Sus scrofa: one gene and its partners. The protein of the gene in region 2 purifies or fractionates together with the protein of the main gene of each other region. This does not show direct contact. Links are inferred from orthologs where the notes say so. Each region holds a gene or a part of one and is shown on either strand. Other genes may lie near its edges. The genes, in order: FBXL3, CRY1 and SKP1.

Region 1 (3,650 bases), on a different chromosome or scaffold from region 2:
GGTGAGGGCCAAAACTCTTTCTGGCTTGCACATGGCCACCTTCTCACTGTGTCTTTACATGGCAGAAAAGGAGATCAAATCATCTTTCCTACCCCTTCTTAGAAGGGCACTAATATTTATGAGGGTTTCTCCCTTAGGACCTAATACCTCCCAACTCATTTTCAAACACCAACACTAGGGAGTAGGGCCTCAACATGTGACTCGTGGCAGGGGGTGAGGGGTGGAAGAGAACAACGCAAACATTCAGTTCACAGCAAAGAGATTCAGAGCATGAATCAGTGAGAGAATCACTAGACCTCAGTGATTGAAGGAATGCAAAGGGTAGGAGGAGTCAAGGATGTCTCTCAGGTCCCTGCAACTAAATGGGTGGTACCATTCACTGAGACAGTAAAAAAGGGAGAAGCCAGAGATTTCAATAGGGAAAAGGATGTTCATTAATCTGAAGTAGCAGTGAGACATTCTAGAGGCGCTGGGCCATCATCAGCTCAACACACAGCTCTGGAGTTCCAGAAGCACTCAACGTAGGTGTTAACACAGAGAACATAACTGAAGCCCCTGATGAAGATAACATAGACCAGAGGTTTACAGAATAAAATGATGAAGGGCCCAGAATAGAACACAGTGAAACACAAAAATTTAAGCAATGAAAAGAGAAACTAGAAAAGGAAATAGAGTAGGAAAAATCAGAGGAGGAGGAAAATCAAGAATAGTCAGTAGTGGAGTTCCCATCCTGGCACAGCGGAAACATGAGGTTGTGGGTTCGATCCCTGGCCTTGCTCCATGGGTTAAGGATCTGGCGTTGCCGTGAGCTGTGGTGTAGGTTGCAGACGCGGCTCAGATCCCTTGTGGCTGTGGCTCTGGCGTAGGCGGTGGCTACGGCTCCGATTGGACCCCTAGCCTGGGAACCTCCATATGCCTTGGGTGCAGCCCTAAAAAGACAAAAGACCAAAAAAAAAAATAATAATAGTCAGTAGTGTCAAATGGTGCTTAGTGGTCTGGTAATAGACAGTCAATTGTAAGGACTATATGAAATAGGAAAAAAGGTAGAACAGAAAGTAGCCCTTAATTTAACTTAGATAAAGAAACCATCTAAATATGCAAAATATGGATAGAAAGAAAATATACAAATGTTTAATTTTATTTTTTTTAATATCCATTCTTTTTTCCCATATAGTTTATTACTAACTATTGAGTAGATTTTCCTGTGCTAGACAGTAGATTCTTGGGGGTTTTTGCTGTTGTTATCTTTTATGGCCACACCTGAAGCATATGGAAGTTCCAGGCTACAGGCTGAATGGGAGCTGCAGCTGCCAGGCCTATGCCACAGCCACAGCCACAGCAACACCAGACCCAAGCCACATCTGCGACCTATGCTGCAGCTGGGGGCAATGCTGGATCCTTTAACCCACTGAGTGAGGCCAGGGATCGAACCTACATCCTCACAGACACTCTGTTGGGTTTCTTACCCGCTGAGCCATGACAGACACTCCAAACAAATGTTAAATTTGAAAATAAAATCCTCTATGTTTATACCCTTATGTTAAAAAAGTATTACAGGCGCTCTTTCTTTTCTGTTCCCAAAACAACTAGTCCAAATGCCATTAGAGCTTGTTAAGACCAAGCAAGGTTGGTCTTAACATACTATGAGAATTGATGTGTATATTTAAAAAAAATAAATGAACACTGGATGTACCAGGATAAAAAGAAAAATAAGCTCTCAATTTCACAAAGAAATCAGAGCCCCAAAGGCTCTCATACAGTGTGGTAAGTGCTACAAGTTATGTTCAGGGTGCTATGGAAACAGGCAGGGGTTCTAAACCTGGGAGGAGGGTGAAAGAGGAACAAAACTGGAACACTTGAACTGAATTTTGAAGGCTGAACTGGAGTTAGATGGATGAAGTGGAAAAAAAAAAATTCTTAAAGGTACTCCACAAGATAAACTGTACTGACCACAGACATGTACAAAGAACTGTCACTACATAGGGCTCAAATAAAGCTGCACGTGAGTAAACAGCAAGCAAGATTAAAGAGATAGGTGGAGGTCAGGATACAAAGAACTTTGTACACTCAAGCTACGAAGTATGAACCTTACTCTCATGGGAAACCCACACAGTAGAAAGTAAAATGTGACCAAGGTCACATAAGAAGGAAGAGCTGAAGCCCACTCTTCTAAGCCTCTGTTTTATTTAGTGTATCACCTTCACTAATGATCTAGAGGAAGCAGGAAAAGCTAGGAAAACACTGCAGCCGACCTCGACATTCCCATCACCAGCTCTTCCATGTGGGAGACATGGAAGGGCAGCGAGCAATCTCCATCTGAGACGGAATCATTTTCCTGGGGAAAGGCCAGCCTTTAGATTTAACAAGAAGGTGGGACATGTTCCGTAAAGAGATCAAAACAGGTTTCCCAGGAGTTCTGTCGTGGCTCAGCAGTTAACGAACCCGACTAGCATCCATGAGGATGTGGGTTAGATCCCTGGCCTCAGTGGGTTGCTGTGGCTGTGGTGTAGGCCCGTAGCTACAGCTGCGATTCGACCCTTAGCCTGGGAACTTCCATAAGCCGTGGGTGCAGCCCTAAAAAGACAGGAGAGAAAAAAAAAAAAAAAAAAAAAAAAAAAAACAGGTTTCCCAAATAACACAGCCAAAGGGTTGGGAGGTCAACAATGGGAGGGTGAGTCAGGAGTGAAGCTACAGACTAATATGAAGTGTAGGTTTATATTTGCTTCACAGTGCAAACCACTTAAAGTTTAAATGATCTCAAATTCAATAATGTAGTAACACTTAGAAAAGTAAACACAAGAAAAGTTGGAAAGAACTTTTATAAAGCTATTCCTCCATCTGATGGGTTCTTGACTCCAAAACTCAACTTAGGAAAAGCATTATCTTGCAAAATCTAAGGCAACAACTTCTGCACAATCCTTCTTTCTCTACATAGTGGGAAGAAAAGCAACTATGATATGGCTCTGACTCAAAACCCTGTTAGCTCAACCACAATTAGAGAAAATCCTATCTTACATCTCAGGCCAACCTCACACTGTCCTTTAATTTATCCGTTTCCTAGCACAGGTTGGACACAAACTGCCAAATAAGATTTGAAAATAAGTGTCTAGGCTAGGAGTGCTACACAATTTATGCTATTGTATTATGACATTTAAAAATGTGTATACAGTAGAGAGGAAATCATTTGAACCCACCTTCACAGTAATGATCATAACTCTCCTTTGTTAGATAAACACATCAATACATTTTACTAAAACGTTATCTGGCAAGAATTGCAACAAACCTGCTGGAGAGACATGAGGACAGCTGCTCATTTTCAGCAGCTTGAGCGTATCACTGTTGTTGGCCACTAGTACTTTGAGGGATGGATCATCTACTGGGGTATCATCTATCTTAAGCGAGGATAAGGATTTGGAGTTTACAAACACGACTGTCAGTGCAGAGATAAAGTGAGACTGAAAAACACAAAATTTAAGACATTGTTTCAGTTCTTACAAATGAGAATTGAGGGTTTTTCATATATTAAGCATATAGTTCACTGGAACCTTAACGATACATTTCACAACTGTGTTTGGGTAGCAGCCCCTCACTCTACTGTGGGAATATGGTAAAGATAGGCCATCTTTGAGAAGGGCCATTTTACCTGAGGG
Region 2 (4,267 bases):
TTCCTTTTTATTTTTGTGGCCTCACCTGCAGTTGGAAGTTCTTGTGCTAGGGGTCAAATGAGAGCTGCAACTTAGACCTATGCCACAGTCACAGCAACAGTGAATCCAAGCCGCATCTAAGACCTACATGGCAGCTTGTGGAAACACTGCATCCTTAACCCACTGAACAAGGCCAAGGATGGAACCTGCATTGTCACAGAGACAACATTGGTTCCTTAATCCACTGAACCACAACGGGAACTCCCCAAGGCTCAGTTCTTGGACCTCCTCTCTTTTCTACCTATACTCACTCTCTTAATGTTCTGATATAGTCTCATGGCTCTACTAGAATGTAGCTTCAACAAGGTAGAGATTTTTTAGCTATTTTATTTATACTGAATGCCCTGCACCTAAAAGTATCTGGCATGTAGATGAATGACCTGAATTTGTTCAATGAATGAATGGATTAATAAATGGCTTTAAATATTATCTATAAACTGATAATTCTCTAATTTATACCTCCTGCCTGGGTCTCTGTCCTTAGCTGCAGATATATCCAACTGCCTATCCGCTGTCTCCACTTGGATGTGCAATAAACACCTCAAAATTAACCAAGTTCAAAAGAGAACTCAAATCACCCTTTCAATGGCCTTTCCCACTAATCACTTAGCAAAAAGCAGCTCCATCCTTCTCGTTTCTCAAGTCAAAAAAATTTACATCATTCCTAATTCCTTCTCTTTCTCTTATGTCACACATACAATCTGTTGACAAATACTGTGTGTTCTGCCTTCAACATACACGCAACATTTGACTATTTCTCACTATGTCCACCATGATCACTACAGTCTAAGCCATTATCATATCTCACCTGGATGAAAGCAATGAACTGCTAACTGGTCTTCCTGCTTCTTGCCCACCTCCACTCTACAATTCAGTCTGTTCTCAGAACCACAGCCAGAGACTTTTTTAAAAGCTTGATTCAAATCACATCACTTCTCTGCTCATACTCCTACAGTTATTCCCACTTTGCTATGAGTAAAAGCCCAAATCTTGACAACTGCCTATAAAGCTCTACTCAATCTGGCCCATTACATCTTTGACCTCATTTACTACTTTTCCTCTCATTTACTCTGCTCCAGTAGATCGGTTTCTTCTGCTATTCTTTCCAAAGGTTAAGAATATCTCCATCTCAGGACCTTTTATCTTACTGTTCCTTCTCCCTGGAATGCTTTTCCTTAGGTATCTGTAATCTATTACTTGCTTCATCATCTTGCTCAATATGGGTTTTTCCCTATCACCATATTTTAAATTGCAACTCCAATCCCACCCCGTCGTATTTTTCATCCCCTTTCTCTGTATTTCTGCACATCATTTATCACCACTAAATACTATATACTTTCTGGGACATGTCTTCAAAAAGGACAAGAATTTCTGTCTGTCTCATTCAATAACTGTATCCCTGGTGTTTTAAACAGTGCCTGGTATACAGTAGGTGATCAATAATCTGTCAGCTGAATGAATATTCTCATTCCACCAGGCGGTCTAACAATCATCTAGCCTGGCATTTCGAGAAAAGATGGTAAAACTTCTCTAAGATTTCTTCCAGTGCTCTGAATCCTAGGATTATACTTTGCTTAGAAAGAAAAACTGTGCTGTGTCTAGTCAACCACAAGGAGGAGTTGAAAGAGTTGAGCAAAGGGAAATGTAGTCTTCCTTGCTTTTCCCAAAACAACCTCAAGGTGGAAGAAAACTGGGTTTGGAGGCGACAATACTGAATGAATGATTTTCTCCATTCTATGAGTTACCTAGACACACACAAACGTAAACATTAAAAACCGCAATCCCTTCAGTGTCACACGGCGGCCAAGGAAATCAATCCATGGCCACTTAATTGGAAGGGGTGGTTCTTTAACTCCCCCACTAAGAATTTTCCATAAACGCAGAAGAGTCCTCATCAGCACAGAGATACATAACTCATAGCTGAAGGCCAAGGTGTTCCAGGCTGCCGGCACTCTTCGGCCAGAGAACCATTAAGCCCATTCTATTTAATGCTTAAAGCACCTGCAATAATTAAAACTGCATAAGCACAGCGGTCCCAGGTCTACATTCTTAGATGTGGTCGATCGCACGTAAAGTCCCAATTCATGAAACAACGAAATCAATTTCTCACAGGATTTTGACTCACCTCCACCTGTTGATGCCCACATTGGAAGAGCCGGCGAACCAGGGGTCGAGGATGTAGACGCAGCGGATGGTGTCGGCGCCCTGAATGCACTCCTTCAGGGCGGGGTTGTCGTGAAGCCGGAGCCCCTTTCGGAACCAGTGCACCGCGTTCACCCCCATCCCGGGGGCGCGGTGGGCGGCAGGCGGCGCGGCGGCGCCGCCGAGTTCCTGCCCCGAGAAATTCAGGGCAAGAGGGTCCAGCTCATAACCGACACCCCCGCTTCCAGGAGAATCGCCGCACCCAAGGAGTGAGGAAAGGGCAGCAGAGCGGGGAAAGGAAAAAATGAGTCCGAGTAGGGGACCCGCGAGGGAGAGGGCGCTGCCCGTGCGGCTGGAAGATGAATGGAGATTGCCCAGTCAGCGGAGTCCTGCCGTGACGCCCTTTAAGAGCCGGCACCCGCCACGACCGCCTGGATGAGACGCCTAACTTCGAGGGCTCCGGACCCCCGGAGGATGAGCAAGTTCCACGAGCCCGAGCCGCCACGACGGCCCGAGCCGGCGCGGGCAGCCCCAGGAGATTCGTCACGGAAACCTCGCCCCACGGAGGCGGCCCCTGAAGCGCAAACGGCCCGCCTGAGGCAAACCACCGACAGGGAGGAGAGAGAATTCAGCGACTGTCGGCCACGCTACCTCTCGGCCCAGGAAAGAGGCGTGAGGACGGAACGCTGAGGCGGTGGTCAAAGCCGCTGGACGGTTGCCGGCCCGAGACCGGTCCCGAGGCTGCCCGGGTGACTCCTCCGCCACCGCCGCGTCAGCGGCCTTGGCCCCGCCCTCGGCTCCTCATTGGACAGAGCGCTCCCCACGTGACCCCCGGCACCTCACGTTTCTGAAGTGTGTTTACTACAGCGGCTCTGACTGGGGACTCTGCTCGCTATTCAGTCTCTAATTTTTAGACGGCAGCCGCTCCATCTCAAAACCGTCGACCCTCGCCCAGACGCTAGACTCTCTGCCTCTGTCCTTTCCTCCGCGGACGAGTCGCCGTTGCCTGAAAGCGCCCACGGTGACCAGAGGCCCCGTGTGAGGCAAGATTTAGCCCCGCCCTCGGGGGCCGTGAGCGGCCACCATTGGCCGAGGCTCTCCGAGACCCGGATGAGCACGGGTATGCGGGGAGTTCGCGAGCGCGCGCTCAGTTCCGGTAGGCGCGCGTGCGCACTCGCTGCCTTACGGAGGGAGGCGAGGAAGGCGGGGCCGGGCTGCTGGAGCGCGCTTGGGGCTTTTTCCCGGGGGGTTTCGGGGGAAGGCCAGGAAGCTTCCTGGTGTCTTAACAGGAGGCGGTGGGGGCGCCAGGTGGGGAGTGCGGGCGGTATGCGGTGAAAAGAGCGGAGTAAGAGGCTCCCCTTAGACGTGGAGCCCAAACCATGTGCTTCCTTCCAGCTTGACTGCAGAACCCAACCCTGCCTTGGAGCGTGTAGAGCTGGCGTCCTTCTCATTCTTGTGGCCCTCGAGGCAGAGCACCCTTGCACGTGCTCTGGGGAAGAGGGGTAATTCATAGGATTGGTGCCAGGTGTTACTGCAATTCCTTGATACCATCTGTATATTGTCAACTTGTCAGCCCTAGTTTCTTAAAGTTGGTGCGGTTTATAGGGCTCTTTGTGATGGGGCCTTTGCCTACCTTTCTAGAGGCAATGCTTCATGCTCCAGAGCCTATTATACTTTTAAAAAGTGTTTCATGTTTCATTTTAGGTAGTTTGAAAGTAAGCAGATTGTGTCTAAAGACACAAGAATTATTTTCAAGCATCCAAATGCAACAGTTGTAAGTAGTATTGATTTGTGTAGAATTGCCTTATTTTTGCCTATTGTCCATTCAATAAAGAAGGGTTTTTTTTTTTCTTAAATAGCTGTATGTGGATGTATGTAACTTTCATTACACCTAAAAGTACTAACTTTTTATAAAAGCATCAGTACTGTCAATTGTGCATTCCTCAGAGACTGAAGGGTTTTTAATGGCATATAGATTGTTAATATATCTTTGAGAGGAGTAACCATTTAATAAAAACTTTGACTTAACACCTACTATAGGTCAGGCACTTTATATTGGTTATTATGAGCCCTCATAATAATCTTA
Region 3 (3,650 bases), on a different chromosome or scaffold from region 2:
AGGCTAGGGGTCTAATCAGAGCTGTAGCCACTGGCCTATGCCAGAGCCACAGCAACGCGGGATCCGAGCCGCGTCTGCGACCTACACCACAGCTCACGGCAACGCCGGATCGTTAACCCACTGAGCAAGGGCAGGGACCGAACCCGCAACCTCATGGTTCCTAGTCGGATTCGTTAACCACTGCGCCACGATGGGAACTCCCTGGTATGTTTTTAATGCATTGTATAAGACATCTCTAATGCACAGCCTTCAGCACCTCTTTTGAGTTAAAATTGTTAAATTCATTGATACTGAATTTTAATTCTAAATTCAAATGCAGTGCTATATTTAAGTCCATGTATCAGTAACCACATTAAATGTAAATGGTCTAAACACCACAATTAAAGGGTAGAGGTTGTCACATTGGATAAAAAAGCAAGACAGCTGTTCTCTCTACAAAAAACTCACTTTAAATATATAAAGTCACAATTAGGTTTAAAAGGTGGAAAGAGATATTTTGCTAACAACAATCAAAAGAAAGCTGGAGTGACTATATATATTTGGGTATATTTCTGAGCAAAGAATATTACCAGGATTAAAGAGGGTTGTTGCATAATGATAAAGGGATCAGTTTGTTATTAAGAGGACATAGGAATCCTAAATGTTTATTTACCTAAAAGCAGAACTTCCAGAAAGTGAGACAAAAACTAACAGACTTCTAAAGAATAAGTAGGCAAATCTGCAGCCATGGTTAGATATTATAATACGTCTCCCTAATAATCAAGTAAACAGAGAATCAGTAAGGATATAGAGGGCTTAAATAACAACCAACTTGTCCTGATATTTTTATAACATTATATCTAATGACAGCAGAGTACATATTCTTTTCAAGTGTATCTTTCCATGTTGTGGACCTTAAAACAAGTCTCAAATTTGAAAGGATTTAGGTCACACAAAATGTGTTTTTTTTCTAATCACAATGGGATTAAGTTAGAAATCAGTAACAGCCATCTGGAAAATCTGCAAATATCTGAAAACTTAACACATTTCACAGTAACCCATGAATCGAAGAAATCAAAAGAAAAATTAATATTATGAACGTAATAGAAATGAAATACAATGTATGAAAATCTGTTAAATGCAGCTTAAGTAGCATTCAGAGGGAAATTGACAGTACTAAACACAAGTATTGGGAAAGGAGAAAAGTCTCAAATCAGTGATCTAAGCTTTTACGTTAAGAAACTTAGGAAATGGGGGAGTTCCCGTCGTGGCTCAATGGTTAACGAATCCGACTGGGAACCATGAGGTTGCGAGTTCGATCCCTGGCCATGCTCAGTGGGTTAAGGATCTTGCATTGCTGTGAGCTGTGGTGTAGGTCACAGAAGCGGCTTGGATCCCTTGTTGCTGTGGCTCTGGCGTAGGCCAGCAGCTACAGCTCTAATTTGACCCCTAGCCTGGGAACCTCCATATGCCGTGGGAGCAGCTCAAGAAATGGCAAAAAGACAAAAAAAGAAAAAAAAGAAACTAATGAAATGGAGTTTCTGTCGTGGCACAGTGGAAACAATCCAACCATGAGGTTGCAAGTTCTATCCCTGGCCTCGCTCGGTTAAGGATCCGGCGTTGCCGGGAGCTATGTGTAGGTCACAGATGCAGCTTGGATCTGGTGTGGCAGTGGCTGTGGTGTAGGCTGGCAGCTACAGCTTGGTTCCCTAGCCTGGGAACCTTTATATGCCGTGGGTGCAGCCCTAAAAAGACAAAACAACAACAGCAAAACACAACTAATGAAAGGTGAAATTCAACCCAGAGAGAGGAGGTATTAAAGATAACAGCAGAAATCAATAAAATAGAAAACAGTAGAGAAAATGAAAGAAAGTGAAAGCTGATTCTTTTGGAATTAATTAAGATGTGATTCTATAACAGCTTATATTGGAATTCCGTAAATATTTTTGTCAAGATTTGAGGTGTGTGCGTACATAAAACTGCCAGTAGTGGCCATTCTTTACCATTTGAGGTAGTGCAGTTTGCTGAAGGTAGCACAAGGATCAGTATTACAGAAGTATAACAAAGAAGGGGGCATGCAACAATCTTTCATGGAAGAATTTGTCATTTATTCATTTCTTAAAATTGACTACCGTTTTAAGCTGAATTAGATACGGATTCTTAGTCACTAACTTTGGATTTAATTTAAAACATCAAGTATACTTAAGTGAAAACAACAAAATTACTTTACAGGCAGCAAACTACTTAGACATCAAAGGTTTGCTTGATGTTACATGCAAGACTGTTGCTAACATGATCAAGGGGAAAACTCCTGAGGAAATACGCAAGACCTTCAATATCAAAAATGATTTCACTGAAGAAGAAGAAGCCCAGGTAGGTGGCTCACAGCTTATTCTTGATCAAATGCTTTTTTATGAAAGACTAAAACCCAAGCTAGGCAAAAGAAGTACTAATAGCAAGGAGTCTTGACCTTATTTGAGGGATAAAAGGTACCTTCTGTGTGCTAAATATTAATGATACTGTTTTTCATAAGTGTAAGAACAATTAGTATTCATCCAAAGGTGCTGTTTGATCATTTGTTCCTTAGCATTTACTAGTTTGGGCACCTAGAACCTTACATATAAGTCATCAATATTTGACTTGAGAAAAGCAGGCCCTATCTGTGGGTGATTGTGTGCCAGGATACCTCACAACGACTTAGTGAATGGGGAAGAAATGAATAAATCAGAATGGTTTTGTTGGCCCAGGTCAGCTGTAGTGACTAAAGCTGTAATTGTTCATTGCCTTTCCTTTTTTTTTTTTCTTTTTTTTTTTCCCTTGCGTTTTAGGGCCATACCTGTGGCACGTGGAGGTTTCCAGGCTAGGGGTCAAATCGTAACTACAGCTGCTGGCCTACACCACAGCTGAAGCAATGCTGGATCTGAGCCTCGTCTGGGACCTACACCACAGCTCACTGACAATGGCGGATTCTTAATCCACTGAACAAGGCCAGGGATCAAACCCCCAACCTCATTGTTCCTAGTTGGATTCGTTTCTGCTGTGCCGTGATGGGAACTCTGCCTTTCCTCTTTTTTTTTAGTGATTATTTGAGCAGGGCACAATAAAAAACTGGGGAGGGGAAAAAAAATGGTACTCTTAACCTAGTTTTTCCAGTTTTCCATCTATCTCTTTCTGACCCACCTCACAGGCTACTGATGAATCATGAGGCAGTAGACTTAGGAAAGACTACACGTGTTAAGGTACTTCCTTTCTATCTGTCTTTATTTCTTGTAGGTACGCAAAGAGAACCAGTGGTGTGAGGAGAAGTGAAATCTTGTGCCTGATGCTGAAACACTGTAAGGATATTTCCAAATACTAGTTGCACTGCTCTGTTTATAATTGTTAATATTCGAAAAACAGTCGACAAATGCAGCAGCAAATCAGTTGTGTTAGTGGAATATTGTTCTCATTGCATGTGTAGTTTCAGTACAGATTCCAAACCTATGGCTGAGTTTCTTCTAGTATGATCTAAAGTTTCTCTTTTCTTTGCTCTGAATAAAATTGAACTGTGGGTTCTCTATAGGAAGTGGCATATTGGGCTTTGCCTCTTTATGTAAAGCAATTTCTGCCTAGTTTATTGTCAGTTTACTTTAGTTTAGTGACTTGGAAAAGTTGGCATTGTAAATAAAGCA

What was found.
Region 1: the proteins of CRY1 (region 2) and FBXL3 purify together in Homo sapiens (affinity purification with mass spectrometry; 4 studies listed by BioGRID and IntAct, counting the BioPlex papers as one, with this or other methods). This does not show direct contact. The link is inferred for Sus scrofa from reciprocal best matches to the Homo sapiens genes CRY1 and FBXL3.
Region 3: the proteins of CRY1 (region 2) and SKP1 purify together in Homo sapiens (co-immunoprecipitation; 4 studies listed by BioGRID and IntAct, with this or other methods). This does not show direct contact. The link is inferred for Sus scrofa from reciprocal best matches to the Homo sapiens genes CRY1 and SKP1.

What each region holds. Positions count from the first base shown.
Region 1 is NC_010453.5:49,137,814-49,141,463, forward strand, and holds part of FBXL3 (F-box/LRR-repeat protein 3), read right to left. Parts: intron 3,456-3,650; coding exon 3,284-3,455; intron 1-3,283. UniProt on the Homo sapiens protein: Substrate-recognition component of the SCF(FBXL3) E3 ubiquitin ligase complex involved in circadian rhythm function. Plays a key role in the maintenance of both the speed and the robustness of the circadian clock oscillation.
Region 2 is NC_010447.5:13,274,232-13,278,498, reverse strand, and holds the start of CRY1 (cryptochrome-1), read right to left. Parts: upstream 2,951-4,267; 5' UTR 2,323-2,950; coding exon 2,165-2,322; intron 1-2,164.
Region 3 is NC_010444.4:136,459,279-136,462,928, reverse strand, and holds part of SKP1 (S-phase kinase-associated protein 1), read left to right. Parts: intron 1-2,211; coding exon 2,212-2,352; intron 2,353-3,252; coding exon 3,253-3,288; 3' UTR 3,289-3,650. UniProt on the Homo sapiens protein: Essential component of the SCF (SKP1-CUL1-F-box protein) ubiquitin ligase complex, which mediates the ubiquitination of proteins involved in cell cycle progression, signal transduction and transcription.